2 linked regions of the Drosophila melanogaster genome follow. The protein of the gene in region 2 binds, or shares a complex with, the protein of the main gene of each other region. Each region holds a gene or a part of one and is shown on either strand. Other genes may lie near its edges. A codon is read from its position in the direction of its gene.

Region 1 (6,430 bases), 6.1 Mb from region 2:
AATTTGATGTGACCAAAACAACATATTCAAAACCCAAATTAATTGTAATTTAATCTAAAAACCAAAGTGTCAAACACAATCCAACACAATCAACACAAGAACACGAACCATTTAAAAACCAATGAAACACTATGCAGAATGCAATCAATTCCTAGAAATCCTAACTATTCTCGAATATATATTTATTGTGAATGTTTACGCTAGGCAAAAAATAAAAAAAAAATACAAAAATATGTCAAATATATACCTCTATGTGTCATTGAACTCGCCTATATCATCATAGTTTATCATATATATATAGTTTAAACCATATCACACTGCAAAAGATACAGAAGCAAACATATATTGCCTATTTATTTTGCAAACATCGATGATAAATATATGCAATCAACTAAGAGAGAATCGTGTACCTACATACAACGTACCTAGCACCATAGAAACCAAACTTATCACAGAGCTTTACAGCAATCGCAATCAAAAAAAAAAAAAAAACAAACAAAAAAGTAATCAATATGAATAACCACGAATACGAAAGGAACGTTTATTTTTTGGCCAAGAACCTCGAGTGATCCCGCCTGCGCTTTATAGTGATGAATCCCACATAAATCTATGTATATTCTATACCCATCATTCAATTCATTCAATATATACACACTATGATCAAACGTAATAGATAGCTCCAAAAAAACACCCAAAACTACTACTAAGGTGAATATACACGAATCCAATCCAAGGTCCACCGATCCGAAATAGAACCAGAGCCAGTAATTACTGAAGCCGCTGTACCCGAAGGCAATCTCAAACTCAATCTCAGTCTCACATTTATAGTCAATTTGTATAGTTGGGCAGCTATATGCGTAAAAGTGTGGTAATTGGTAATGGTAAACTCTTGAAACTTTATACATATAGTGAAGACTCACCAGTGTCATAGATGTATTCATTACGTAAACGGCAATTAAAGCGATTATTATCATTATTGTTGTGCTATGTTTAGCGGAGTAGAAGTGAAACCCGAAAAAAAATATGAATTTATATATGTATACAAAACGCAGCAGCAGCAGCAGGACGAACTCTATCTAGGACACATTAAAAACCACTCTACTTTATATACACATACTCGAATGATATGAATAAAAGTATGAATTACACGAACGGGAACGGGACAATCAAAATTCAAGCGACACTAAAACTAATTCTATATCAACTATCAACTAACAAACAATTGCAATTTTAAGTTACGTTGTTGTCGTTCGTTGTGTTTGTTCGATTCGTTGGATCTGCGTTTGGTTAATGCCAGCTAATTTGATCCTGAAACTCCAGCATATCCTTGCCATGCACCTGAAATTGCTTTGCATTTTGTTCGGTCCGAATTTGTTGTTTATTTATTTCACCTTAGACAAGCATATCGATATGGTTTACTAGCGTTTAATCGTACGTATATATAATTAGATTTACTTAATTTTAATTAATGTTTACGCGACAAGACAGAAACCTAAACACAAGAAACAAAAAAAAAAATTTAAAAATGAAAAAATTAAAAACAAAATCTAAATCAAAGAAAAAGGGGAAAACCAAAAGCTCAAACTGGACTGAACATTTAAGAGTTATATTATGTACATTATTGAATTGCATTTGATTGTGTGAAGATCGTTTTAGTGCTAGTAACTGCGCCTAAAACAAAAGGGTATTATATTTGTATTCGAATTTGTATGTAATTCTGATCGTATGTACGTTATGTTATCGTAAGTGTACCATCCTAGATCCTCTAATGAATTGAATTGAAATGAAGCCAACTCTGTCTCTTGTGATTCTATTGTGATGCTATGGGAGTCAAGCAGCACTCAACTGTTTTTATGCCTCTTAAAGTTTAAAACAAAGCTAATCGTAGCAAAACCTAAAACTAAACTACCTATCTCTACACTAGTCTATGCAATGCTAATTGGCAGCCCCAACAATTGAAAACAATCATGCACAATAAATGTTATGCAATTGAGAGAATCCAAAGGCCAAAGACCCACAACTTTTTCTTACACTACTCGAAGTAATTGTGTACAACTAAAGGAATTCTAGATTTTAAATGTGCTAAAACTGTTTATAGTCAAGTACTTAATTAAGAGTGTAATTATCAAATATTAATACGTACAAAGGTTGGGGCATTTGGCATAGTAATACTAATAATGTATAAACGTGGGATCCGATGATTTGATTGATGATAATGGAGCGGTGCAAATGCGTGTGACAATGTACGTATGTAACAAACAATTGAATTTAAATGTTTAATAAATGTGTGGAAATGAATAAATGCTCTGTGTGCTAAATTCCTCAATTACTCAATAACAGCCTCTACGTTAGCTTCTCGTCCAGGAATAGTGGATCCAAACTGCACTTTTGCCGCTGTTCCATGTAATCCAAAAACTGGTGGTCAAATAAACGCTGCCCCATGCTGCGTGCCACATCGTCGGATTCGTCGGTGTTTGCCTTCTCTATGAGCAGCTGTTGGCATTAGGATTTCCTTTTTTTTTAACTATTTTGGAAAGTTGATGCAGCCTTCTGCTCACCTCAATTTCCTTGGACAAAAATTCTTTGGTCGCATCGCTCATCTTCTTTTGCGGCTGGCCCATCAAAGCGTTTTCCAGAAACTTGTAGGCCTCACTGAAAGTACCACAATGCTAAATACAAATGTAGTTTATCAAAACCATTCCTACTTCAAGTCAATGCCGTTCAGTTCCGTTGGCGATGGCTTTGTCTCATTTTGGATTATGGAGTTCACAACGACGGCTGCTTCGAATTCGCAGAGTTCAGCGAGTTGCGAACTTTTCATGAGCTCCAGCCACTGGTTAATGTTGTTTAAGCTAACGGAGTCGCAGTTTTTCACCATTTCCTCGCCCTTGCCAATCATGTCGGCCACATACTCTAGAAAAGGGATTGGGGGACAATGTACTTTTATTGCATTATGCATGTTTTAAGAAAACTCACGGAGAATGCCATTCGAATTATTTTGATTTTGCTGCTTGGCTGCTTCGAGCAGGATTTGCTGTGAGTAGCCCAGTCTGTTTAGTTGCCTTTGCAGCTTAACTTTCACCTCTCTCGGAATCCTTGCAGGCTTTTCTGCGCCTTTTTGCGCGGAGTTTTTCGGTTCCGGCGTAAATTGTTGCTCCTCCTCCATTTCTTTTGTTTATGTTTACGGTTTGTTAGGCTGACCCCATATGGTATTTGGTATTTAGTATTAAATTGAATCATTTGATGCGGCAATGAAGGAATGGTGGAATAAGTGGAACATGGAGACGGTTCATGTCATGGATTTATCCCGGACGCGTTCTCTGGTTAAAATGGCGCACCCACAAGCAGCCACACCAATCCCAAAGTTTCATTTATTAGTTTAGTGGCGAGTTTGGCGGCGCGAAACGCTCGTTGGTCCTTTTGTTTCGAAAGAAATCCTATTCGAAGATCCCCGATCCTTGCTAGGATCATCTAGTGCAATATATAGACTAGTTAATTTACTTTTGGAAAAATAAGGACACCAGCAGGGCCGCCGATTTGTGCCCCTTTCTTGAAAGTCGCAAAACAAAAACAACGACGACAACAACAAAGCGGAGACAAAGAATCGACAAGTAGCGATAAACGAAATCATTCCCGGGAAAACCTTGGAGACGGGTGATTCACTGCCAATACCACTGCCAATTGGAGACTGATCACGGCAGCCATCCTTGGCGCGCCCAATAAGCGGAGTCACCGGAACGCGTGGAAGCCATATCCGGAATGCAGCCGCCGGAGCTCGAGATTGGAATGCCGAAGAGGCATCGCGAGCATATACGCAAGAATCTGAATATACTGGTTGAATGGACGAACTACGAGCGTCTGGCCATGGAGTGCGTGCAACAGGGCATCCTAACCGTTCAGATGCTAAGAAATACGCAGGATCTCAATGGCAAGCCATTCAACATGGACGAGAAGGATGTGCGTGTGGAGCAGCATCGTAGGCTCCTATTGAAGATCACCCAGCGTGGTCCCACCGCCTATAACCTGCTGATCAATGCACTGCGCAATATCAATTGTCTGGATGCGGCCGTTCTATTGGAATCCGTCGATGAGTCCGATTCAAGGCCACCCTTTATCTCGCTAAACGAACGGAGAACCAGCCGGAAGTCGGCCGATATTGTGGACACACCCTCACCCGAAGCCTCCGAAGGACCCTGCGTTAGCAAGGTAATGAAAATAAAATCATACGAAAGCTTTGATGGTGAAATTGCAGCTCAGGTCATTGACCCTGATTTCTACAAAAAACCGGTTTATGGCACAATTTATTTGCATTTTTTTTTTTAGGTTTGTTAATTGAGTTATTCCTATTGGAATGAGATTAGAAAAGGTATCTTTAAGAATTGTAAATGGACTCAATGATGAATACTACTTTGGTACATGTGCACAGTATTATTTGCTTCTCTTTCAGAAGTTAGTTCGTGTATGAGATTCTTGTTTTCCATTTTTTTTGGAAGCATGAATCACATCCATTCTACTTACCTATCCCAATTATTCTTTTAGTAGGATTTGTTTTTAACCAGAATCTTATCGCAATATTGCTGGCAGCTGTGTTTATATAGCACGAATGTTGATTACTTCTTTGTCTGCCACATTAACCGTGCAATGAAAATATAATATATATATTGAAAATCTTATCTTTATTGTAATTTGTTCTTTCTTTCTCTCTCCTACCAAAGCTCCGGAATGAGCCGCTGGGAGCACTCACCCCTTATGTGGGTGTCGTTGACGGTCCCGAGGTAAAAAAATCGAAAAAGATACATGGTGGGGATAGTGCCATATTGGGCACATATAAGATGCAATCACGTTTCAACCGAGGCGTTTTGCTAATGGTTAACATAATGGACTATCCGGATCAAAACCGTCGACGGATCGGAGCCGAAAAGGACAGCAAGTCGTTGATACACTTGTTTCAAGAACTGAATTTTACGATTTTCCCCTATGGGAACGTGAATCAGGATCAGTTCTTTAAACTTCTGACAATGGTGACCTCCTCGTCGTATGTGCAGAATACCGAGTGTTTCGTAATGGTACTGATGACACACGGCAACAGTGTGGAGGGAAAAGAGAAGGTGGAGTTTTGCGATGGATCTGTGGTCGATATGCAGAAGATCAAGGACCATTTCCAGACGGCCAAATGTCCTTATTTGGTGAACAAGCCGAAGGTGCTTATGTTTCCCTTTTGCCGCGGCGATGAATATGATTTGGGCCATCCAAAGAATCAAGGCAATCTCATGGAGCCAGTGTATACGGCGCAAGAGGAGAAGTGGCCTGACACCCAGACGGAGGGCATACCCAGCCCGAGCACCAATGTGCCAAGTCTTGCCGACACTCTGGTCTGCTATGCTAATACGCCGGGCTATGTTACCCACCGCGATCTCGACACGGGCAGCTGGTACATCCAGAAGTTTTGCCAAGTGATGGCCGATCATGCCCACGACACAGACCTTGAGGATATCCTAAAGAAGACGAGCGAAGCCGTGGGTAATAAGCGCACCAAGAAGGGTTCCATGCAGACAGGTGCCTATGATAATCTTGGCTTTAATAAGAAACTCTACTTCAATCCCGGGTTTTTCAACGAATAGTTGCCGCCACTGGACATTTTATCATTCCGGATGCATTTTTAACCGCATTTATGTTCTTATCGTCGCATTTAGTATGTCTTTTAGATTATGTGTTCTGTGCTCGCGTGCTATAAAATGTTTATATTGTAACAAATACTCATTCAAGTATTCTTCTAATACGTATTGCATACCTCATTTAAAGGTACGAAATTATGTAATTTATGTGATAACTGCCAGAAATCTACAAATATTATAATACAGAGTTCCAGTATATACACAGCCAGATTTTTGAAATCGAACATTTAGGCAAAATGTAAAGCAATTTTCCAGTCTGATTTTTGAGTGTGTACACTTACAAAATAAACGATGATATTTCACAACAAACCGCAGTTTGTATATAATTAAAATCTATTTACATTTCTAAAATTTCATTGGGACACTAATTATTATATAATATAATCTTAGGATCATACATTTTAACCTAATCATCCTGCTCATCCTCCTCCGCCAAGTGGGACAGTTGTAGTTTTCCCGCTGCACGGCTCTGTTCCGATTTGGTTTTGCATTTCTTTGGCTTATGCGGCTTTTGGCCAATTACATACTCAGGCATCACCAGCTTGGAACCTCTTAACTGCGGCTTATCCAGCTCCACATCATCCACCTCCTGCTGTTTGAGGCTCTTGAGCTTGCGGCTGAGTTTGCTGGTCCTCTTGAACTCGATCTTGCCATCTGTAGGTGGAGATTCGTTATCGACGCCCTCAGCCTCGCGCTGTGCATCCATTTGTCGCAGGAAGGACAAGGCGGCGGCGGAGTTGCTCTGTTCGGAAATG
Region 2 (8,783 bases):
GAGAGTACAGTGAGCGCAAGATGGGAGTGGACTAAGAAATTTGTATATTAATTCCATGGGAATTAATTAATTCTAATAAATAACTTTAAAACAGTACCACAAAATATTTCTGTATTCTTGATACTATTTTAACTATTTTTTAAAGGTTAAATAAACTCTCCATTAAATAGTTATCAAATGATAAACCGCAAATCGCAAATCTTTATTTGTTCTTCCTATTATTTTGTATTAATTAAATAGTCCTTGTCTTAATCTACAATATTATCATGTGCATAACAATAGAACGAATTTCCATGATAGGTACGGAAAATTTAAGCTTTTTATTTCATTTTCGTGCCGGCAAAGTATCATTAAATTCCTATTCTTCGACATGCCACAAAATCGAGTCAAGCAAATTGGAGGAAAACTGAAAATGATTTTGCGAAAATCTTTGGGCTTTCAATATGTAAACGCGCTTTCGTGTGTATGGGTTTTGTATGTTTTTCTTGGGTGTTTAAAAATAGAACATTTTGTATTTTTCTTATTTAATGCTTTTGGCCGTTTGCCTTTTGCTTGTGGCTGTTGTTGTTGGCTATGCCGTTCTGGCCATTCGACTTGTAAATCGTCGGCTTGCATTAGCCATGTATTTGCTGTATTTGTTAATATTCGAAATTCGAATTATTGTTGCGGCGGCGAAAGAGCACGAAATACCCAACAACAATAATGGTCGAGCGTCTAGCGAACGGCGCTGCACAGTGGGTCTAAACAGGATGGATCATTCTTGACCTTGATTGAATATCCTATAAAAATTCCTAAATAATAACGTCAATGTGTCATAATGCTGTGTTCTTTATCTTCTTCGATGGAAAATCTTGTAAAATTAATCAATTTAGTAATTTGTTCTTTATATTTTAATTTGTTGTTTTACTTTAAACGCTCTTAAGTTAAATGAAGTATACATAAAAATTAAATGGTTAATCCTTACGAAACAATAAGGTAATACTTTTCGTTTGCTGCTAGATATTCTTGTAGCATTTTAATAATTTGATCCCATGACCCCATGGAATTCGACCCACAGTGCGATTCACGTCAGCACCACAGTTGGACGCAACGCAACAGTGTCGAAACTGCAGCTCCCTGCGCCCGTTCCACCCCAACCCCGCCCCCAATTCACCCACCACCCCCTCGCCCAGTCGCGTGATCGCAGTTGCAGCAGACTGACGCAACGCCTAGCCGCCTTCTAAAGTGGGAAATCAATCCCTGGTGATAGGGGATGCAGTGTGAATATTCACATTTAATTAACTGGAAATTGCACCTGCTGCAAATGCAACCCTTGATAGAATTGCTAATACTCGCCACTTCTACCCAAACAAGAAAATAATGTCTGTTTGCAAACGATTACTTAAGTGGGAATTATCAATACCTACTAAAAGACTGTTGTCTTTTTCTTTTCTTCTAGCGAATGTTTTATGTTTTCTATCTGTGTACTATATCTTTAAAGATAGCTTTAAAATATATTTTATTTTATTGTATGTTCTTTAATTTAAATTTATTTACAAATTGACTAGTTGAGCAAAGTATAACCATTCAAACGTTACATTTTCTACCACCCAATAAGGACTATTCCTAAGTGTGAAAGAATGATGATTACTGGCAGACTTACCTGGTGCAGGGCGGTGAGTCCATCGACGTTGGCGGTGTTGATGTCGGCGCCCTGGTCGAGCAGCTGGACGACCTCGTCCTTGTCGCCGGAAAGGCAGGCGGCGAGGAAGACACAGCCGGAGCTGAACTTGATCCTGCGGCCGTGCTCGTGCCGGGGGGTGGGGGCGGCGCGGTTTGTGTCCGACTCCTCCCAGCGCTTCAGCTGCTCGGCGCGCTTCATCATCGCCGAGTTGTTGCGTGCGTCCAGCGAGGACATCTTGGCAGATCCTTCTTGGCCAGACGAACGATCTGCTCCTTCAGATAATCCTGCTACTTGCTGCAGAGCACGCGCTCTGTGAGATCGCTCGACTGCTCCAGATGTGTGTAGATTTTGTATGTAGCGCTGTTGTATCGCTATTGCTCTATCGTAATTGCTTTATTGCGCTTTTGTTTGCAATGGGAATTGGGTTTTGATTTTGCACTATTTATAGAAAATGCTTCACACTTTCGATTTTCGATCACGACTACACTTTTGCTGTTTGTACTGCTGCTGCTGCTGCTTCTTCTTTTCCTGCTTGCTGATTATTATTATTTTACGATTTTTCTATTTTCTTTGCGTGTGTGTGCGCGTGCGTGCGTGCGTGTGCGTTTGCTTTATCAGCCAACTTCTTGGCGTTTTCTTCTCCGCTCACTCACACAATGTCGCAATCAGGAACGCTCTCTCTCTCTCACACTCGCTCTCCCGCAAAACAATGCTATTTGTTGTTGTTTAACGCGCACCTTTGTTGTTGCATTCAATGGAAATTACACAAGAGGATGGGGCAAAAACTAAGAAATACGATAGGAGAAATTAATATTTTGCAAATGCTTTATTTAGAGCCACCAGCTGCTGGGCTACATAGTGTTAAGCAAACACATTTTCATATCAATTAAAAACACTTGCGGGCATTTTAGCAGCCGCTTGTTTTTTTTACACTTTGTTTATCATTCTCCCTTTCGCGCTCTCTCTCTCTCTCTGCCGCTCACACACACTCATGCAGTTAGGGCTTGCATACGGAGAGCGCGAATGGCTGAGCCTGCATGTGTGTGTGTTACCAATTTGACATAAATTCAACAGCCGCGACGCTGACGTCGCGAGTAAATAGAACAAAAATGGAAACCGCGTATTTTTTCACGCACTGAAATGCGATGATTTTATGTAATTTGGCAGGATGGCGGTATTGCACAAAATCCTTGCAAATGCGAGTGCACTTATGTAAAGGCATTTTTACATCGCCCCACATTTTACATTCCACTCCACACTCACACACACATTCACTCGCCTCGCACACAGACGCAACACATACACACGTATGCCGCACACGCACGTAGAGAAAAATGGATTGCAGTAGAAACTTTTCACACACACCGAAAGACCAAGCGAAAAACGCACCTTTCCCGCGAAATTCCCAGAACTTTCAGTGCTCTCTGGGCTTTAATGGCTGCAGGACTCTCCGCTGAAGCGCTCCTCGTCCGCGAGGCACTGGTATTTCACTTTATTTTGCATATTTTCGGTGGCGTTCAAATCGAATTTCATCCGCACGAAGTTCACAGACCAAAATTTTTTGACGATGTGAATCGGAGGGCAATGCGCGGTATATTTAGCACTCTTTTCGCCTGGTCACACTAACGCCGCTCACAAAATTGTAGATGGCGTCTTAGTTATGTTAACACTTAGCAGTGCTGTTATGGACCGATATTTTTAACGATGTTAATTAAACTATCAATATTATTTTAGGGTATTCGTAATTGTTCGTCTTATTACTCCATTCGGGAGAAATGCGTTCTTTTTGCATCCAATTCTTTACATTTAGTTCAAAAATAGATGCGGCCATATCTATCGATATATTTGATGTGCCTCAAAAACACATACAATGCAATTTTCAAACAACTTTTTAAATATATTAATACCGTTTCTAATTTTATCTATATAAAACACAAAAAGGAAAAAGAGGATACAACAGAATCAATTTACTTTCAAACTCAAAAAATGCTGTTTTTGGTCAACTTCTCTAATTGTGGCTTCCCTCAATTGTTTGTATTTATTCCTGGTTTGATACTAAGAATTCTCGAAAGTTTATTAAACCGAAACAACAAACAATTGATGTTAAAATAAATTTCCAAACTGATCAAAGTATTTTGTTTTTACTGGGAGTTCTCGGTATGCCGAAGGTTCTTCTGTTTGTTCCACTAATTTTTTTGTCAAATCAAGACAAAATGTTAGGGGCTCTAATTCTGATGAATCGAAATAAGCTCAGTTTTCGCGGTGTTACTGGACCGGGTAACAGACCCTTGTTCTATAAGTGGCTCAATTTTGTATATGTGTTATACCTGAACTACCGTTTCGATTTCCAAACCGTTTTATTCGATAAATGTTGGTTGAAAACGCTGCTGACGGCCTAGCGTAGACTTGATCCCACTGATGCATCTTATCGATATCTTTTTAGCGCGTATCGATACATCAGCGAGCCAAGCACCTTGAACAGTGTGACCCCATTTAGCATTTATTTAAAACTACGACTTCGTGTGCTGACAGTTGTTTGTTTTTGAAATTTTAATATATTCAGAAATATAAATAGCTTGCAAAATAGTTATTAATTAAACTTAAAAAAGTTTTAAAAAAAACATTCCAGTTTAGAGACGCACAGCTGGAATAGCCAACGAAAGTGCGGACATCCCACCCCCAAAAATAATTGCGCATCGCTTGGGCGGCAAAAAACTATTTCGACCGTTCCGCCCCGCTAGTTCTCTCTCTTTCCCCCGCCAGCACCCTCTCGCTCACTAGAAAGCCAAGCAAAACAAAACAAAACGAGAACGCAGAACCGACAAAACAAATACCTATAGGAAAGTGAGCTATATAGGCACATAGCTTTGGCGTAGTCGTTGCACGGCATTCAAACCCACCAGTCGACGTGAGCACAGTTGTGTAAACATTTTATACAGCAAAACTTATTTTAAGTGATTTTATAATCTTATCGTGGTGCGATAAGAGGTGAACGAAAACAATTAACGATTTGGTGGCCGAAAAAAGGCATTAAAAAAACCAATGATAAACTGATACGTTATCACTGTTTAAAATGTCTCTGGTAAGTAAATATAAATATGTGTGTTCAATCTTCCCGCGGTTTATAGAAAAAACAAAATGGGTTTACTTTACTATACTTGAATTATGCTGCATACAAATAGGCGCCGCCTGTCTACCTTTCTCTCTCCAACACGCCTTTTTTCATTCATGTCCTTACCCCCACATAAACAGGGACACGACCATTATCCCTCCCTCTCTCACTCTCTCTCTCTCCCCCTTTCTCCCTATCTCGCTCTCCGCTCTCTGGCGTTTTCTAGTGATTTCTAAAACAATCTGGAGGCCGAGATACACATGTACATACATACTTAGGCATATGTCAGGATCCCGTCTTATCTTATTCGCTCTTGTGCTAGCTTGTCATTTTGAGGGATGGGTTGGAATGAAATCTGTCTGTCGCACATGTTTCTGCCTGGATATTAACTAAGATTGTACCTTTTATCTCCGCCGATGCTGAGCTCATTCGCATCGCATTTCATTCATGATGAAATCAACACCACCCCCATGCTGCAAAACCCACCCATTCGTGGAACGCGTTTACTAGCTAGAATTTTCCAATTTCTAATTACCGCTCAATGTCATTTCCATTTACAGCGCTGCGTAGGTTCCTATGATTGATGGGGTTTTGCCTATAGCATCAGTTGCTTACCTCACTTATTTTACTAGAACGAAATTCATATATCCTCGCTGCATTCTGTTTTGCGTCATTCATTCGTGAGATATTTGTTTAAAACAACTGTCAACTGGCAAGTCTAATCTATACCTAGTAACGGTGACTAGATGGTTTCACAGGAAATTAGGTCACTTGAGTAATGTCATAACCTCTCAAATTCCTTACTTCAAATAGTAGTTCACTGATGAGTTCACTTGGTGTTCCCCTGAAAATGATGAATAAAATTATTTTTGAGTATTTATCCACTACACCATAAACTTAAATATACAATATACATACATCCTTTTTGAGGCTCCATCATTTGACAGCAAAAGATCCGCGGGACACCTCAGTTCGGTAGGCTCATTATTGGATTGTTCCACACATCCACACACCGAAAATATCCTGACAAAGGATCGACGGCAGCTGGCGTCGTCATGTGCCGCGCGATCCTTTCACTGGAAGCGTGCACAATAAGGATGAGGACCCTTGCCCCAGGAGCAGATGTTGCTGGCTCCGCTTTCGGCGATCCTCTGATCGGTTATTACCTAGTTGCTGCAGCTGCCGGCACACGTCCACAATTGTCGATCCAGGTGCTTTCTTTCCTTCCTTTTTTTTTGGCCCTGAATGGAGCAGGTAAATACATGGTGGCTAGAAAAGGGACCGACAGGCAGCACATGTTATAAGCAATGGGTAGTGGCTAGTCTAATCGAATCGTGCCCAACGCGTTGTTATGACACCTTTTGCCAATCGCCGCACAAATGAATGAAGAGAATACAAAAATGGCAAACAGGTTTTCAGCTCCGCTGCAGTTGGCTGTTAATAAAAAGCCACAAAATATAACATAAACAGAATCAACTGTAGAGTATAGCTTTTGAAATGTAATATGAGGAACTTAGGAATTACAAAGTTGCAGCAATCTTTTGACACGCTCCTTAATATTTATCTTAAATGAATATTATACATGCATATATAGATAAAATTAAGGTATATCCCTATTGAGTCATACTTGTTAATGCTGGCATGGTTTCATTATTAAAGCAACAAAGTGACTCAAGTTGTTTGAAATAGCTTAAACAGCTGTCAACACATTAAGTTAAAACGCTGTAGGCTATTTTAACTGTGCATTAAAAGCAGCACCAACAAGAACAGGGCGGTTGCAACAACTTTAAAAGGCCTTGCAAGGCCGTTTAGCTCCAAGCCCGCGGATTTTTCAACTAAAACTTGTCCGGCGACTCGAGACCCAAACTCTGCGTGGTCAGCGGAGTGATCTTTTGATGCTGAATATGAAATGAAAACCGAAGTGCCTCTGGCAGCATCCGCAAATAGAATGCTTGTATAGACGCCACATTTTCGCTTAATTTACAGCAGAAGACCGCCTGCAAACAGTGTCGACTTGCAACATGTCAAAGTCGTCTAGACTTCGCATTTATAGGCAAATTTCTCAAATGCGTCGCGACATTTTCGTGGTAAATTTAGCAGCGTGTATTTATAAAATTTGAAAAGTTCAACCCGTTTGCTTGCGGACGCCATATACACATGTCGCGCACTGTAGCCGGGCTGTTTTCCATAAATGATTCAAACTTGGCAATCTTTGTTTATACAGTATCAGAACGTGTTGGCATTTCCCCTGCCAAATATATATTCATAACTCAAAGGGGCTTAATCAGAAAAGCTTGGGACTTCGTTTAAAAATATTTTACTTATTGATAGTTCATTGCAAATACTTTGTTCGAGGCAAAAACGTCAATTCAAGAAATATGTTTGTAAATTTCATAATATAAATATATTCAACAAATACTTTAAGAATCCCTAGTGGTTTCTTCGCATTTATTAGTTTTTATCAGCCATTTTATCATGTCATATACTAACTTATGTACATAAAATTGCGTAATATTTACTGTAGCAATTACTCAGCCTTGTACTGTGTGCAAAATATATATATTAGAACCCCGCCCCAGGGAACCCTATTTTCTATAACCTAAAAGCGAATCAAAAAGCTGACATTTTAGAAGACATAGAAGAAATTGACTCAAAATAAGGCATTGCAATTGAAGTTGTAAATCTTGTTCTTTAGTTTTTGGTATAAGGACGGATTCATCATTAATTCATCATCATTAGATTGACACTTCTAGTGTCTTTGGTTTAACCTGAATCAGGCTAGTACGGGACCGAGTACGGGACAGAGCCTGCACTTTGAGATGTTCTCTTAATTTTGTTTTTTGTTTTGCTCTTTTCCATACATAGCTTTTTGCATAGCCGATTTGTTTAAAGCTGGCACTCCGCCAGCCAAGCCGTATCATTAAAAGCATTTTTTCGTTTAAAAAAATAATGATCGGAATTCGAAGGCATAATAATCTACCTTTTTTGATATGTGGACTTTGTGAAAGTTCCAGCTGCTCCTTCCTCCTCGCCACAATGAAGGAGAGACAGACAGACAGAGTGAGAGAGAGTGAGAGAGAGGTGGAAATGCGGTGCATTGACACGCGCGCGGCGCATGCTCTTCGCTCTCTTGCAGGAGGATAAAAATCAATGATCCTGGCTGCGGTGTCTGCGAGTGCGAAAGGGATAGCCATACAGGCAACAGTAGTACGTCTATTACGATTTACGTATTAATACTAGTCGTAGTACAACAAAATTATGCACTTGCATTTGTCCATTTTTATTAATTGTTCAACTTGCCCACAATAAAAAGCCAGACTGTTTGATTCTAAACAACGTTTATGGGCCCCGCCTTCACTAAAAGTGGCTAAATAAAGTTTCAGTAATAGCAAGAAAATTAAAAGTGCGGAAGGCCGAATGAACAACTGCATTGAACATTCCACTCACCAAAGCTAGGCAGCTGAGAGAGGGTGTCTGTCTACCTCTCTCGTTGGCAGTTCTGAAAAAAATAACCTTAAATGTTTACAGAATTAGCGTGAAGCCGAGGGATTCGAAATCGACTTCGGCAGCGCTCGTCTCGTTGCTTCGTTTCAGTTGAATGTCGAATCTCGGCCCGTATAGACACAATGGACAACTCGCTTTGAGCGCTGTCTCGATTTAAATTTATACATTTAAAGTACAAAAAAAGTATTCCACGGTACTGAATGTGATAGTTGGCTTTGTAATTGTAGGCGATATAGCAGCAGCAACAACAAAAGCAAATACAGAGCGTAGGAGATAACAGAAAACGTGTTATTGTGTTTTTCCGTTCGTGTTCACGGAAAATCAATAGTGATTGTGAAAGCGCATTATTTACACGATTAACAAATCGTCAAATCTCAACGCAACGGAAATTTTCCAGTGCAAACTTGAGTTTTTCAAGAAAAAGAGAAAAGCCGTCAAGGTGAGCCCCAGTTTTATAATCTAGTATGGTATTTTGTGTACCCCAAGCGAAAAATAACCCCAAAT

What was found. Proteins that work in one complex are often made in the same cells at the same time.
Region 1: the proteins of Diap1 (region 2) and Dronc are in contact, whole or in part, in a crystal structure (PDB 1Q4Q), measured with the Drosophila melanogaster proteins. Residues at the interface, in NP_001261916.1 of Drosophila melanogaster: Thr255, Arg260, Val261, Arg262, Gly269, Leu270, Met271, Asp272, Trp273, Asn274, Asp277, Gln282, Trp286; in NP_524017.1 of Drosophila melanogaster: Pro116 (codon at 4,105), Pro117 (codon at 4,108), Phe118 (codon at 4,111), Ile119 (codon at 4,114), Ser120 (codon at 4,117), Leu121 (codon at 4,120), Asn122 (codon at 4,123).

What each region holds. Positions count from the first base shown.
Region 1 is NT_037436.4:9,965,129-9,971,558, forward strand, and holds Dronc (death regulator Nedd2-like caspase), read left to right. Parts: upstream 1-3,350; 5' UTR 3,351-3,759; coding exon 3,760-4,206; intron 4,207-4,715; coding exon 4,716-5,621; 3' UTR 5,622-5,874; downstream 5,875-6,430. Other genes in the region: CG6685 (uncharacterized protein), read right to left, coding at 2,344-2,493, 2,559-2,652, 2,706-2,913, 2,977-3,166; CG6674 (uncharacterized protein), read right to left, coding at 6,082-6,430. UniProt on the Drosophila melanogaster protein: Involved in the activation cascade of caspases responsible for apoptosis execution. Effector of steroid-mediated apoptosis during insect metamorphosis. Overexpression promotes programmed cell death.
Region 2 is NT_037436.4:16,046,420-16,055,202, reverse strand, and holds the start of Diap1 (Death-associated inhibitor of apoptosis 1), read left to right. Parts: upstream 1-4,168; 5' UTR 4,169-4,745; intron 4,746-4,899; exon of another isoform or gene 4,900-5,619; intron 5,620-5,693; exon of another isoform or gene 5,694-5,968; intron 5,969-8,356; exon of another isoform or gene 8,357-8,718; intron 8,719-8,783. Other genes in the region: Mbs (myosin binding subunit), read right to left, coding at 1,643-1,897. UniProt on the Drosophila melanogaster protein: Anti-apoptotic protein which functions as a caspase regulator, using its E3 ubiquitin-protein ligase activity to smother caspase activity. Binds, ubiquitinates and inactivates initiator caspase Dronc, and effector caspases Drice and Dcp-1.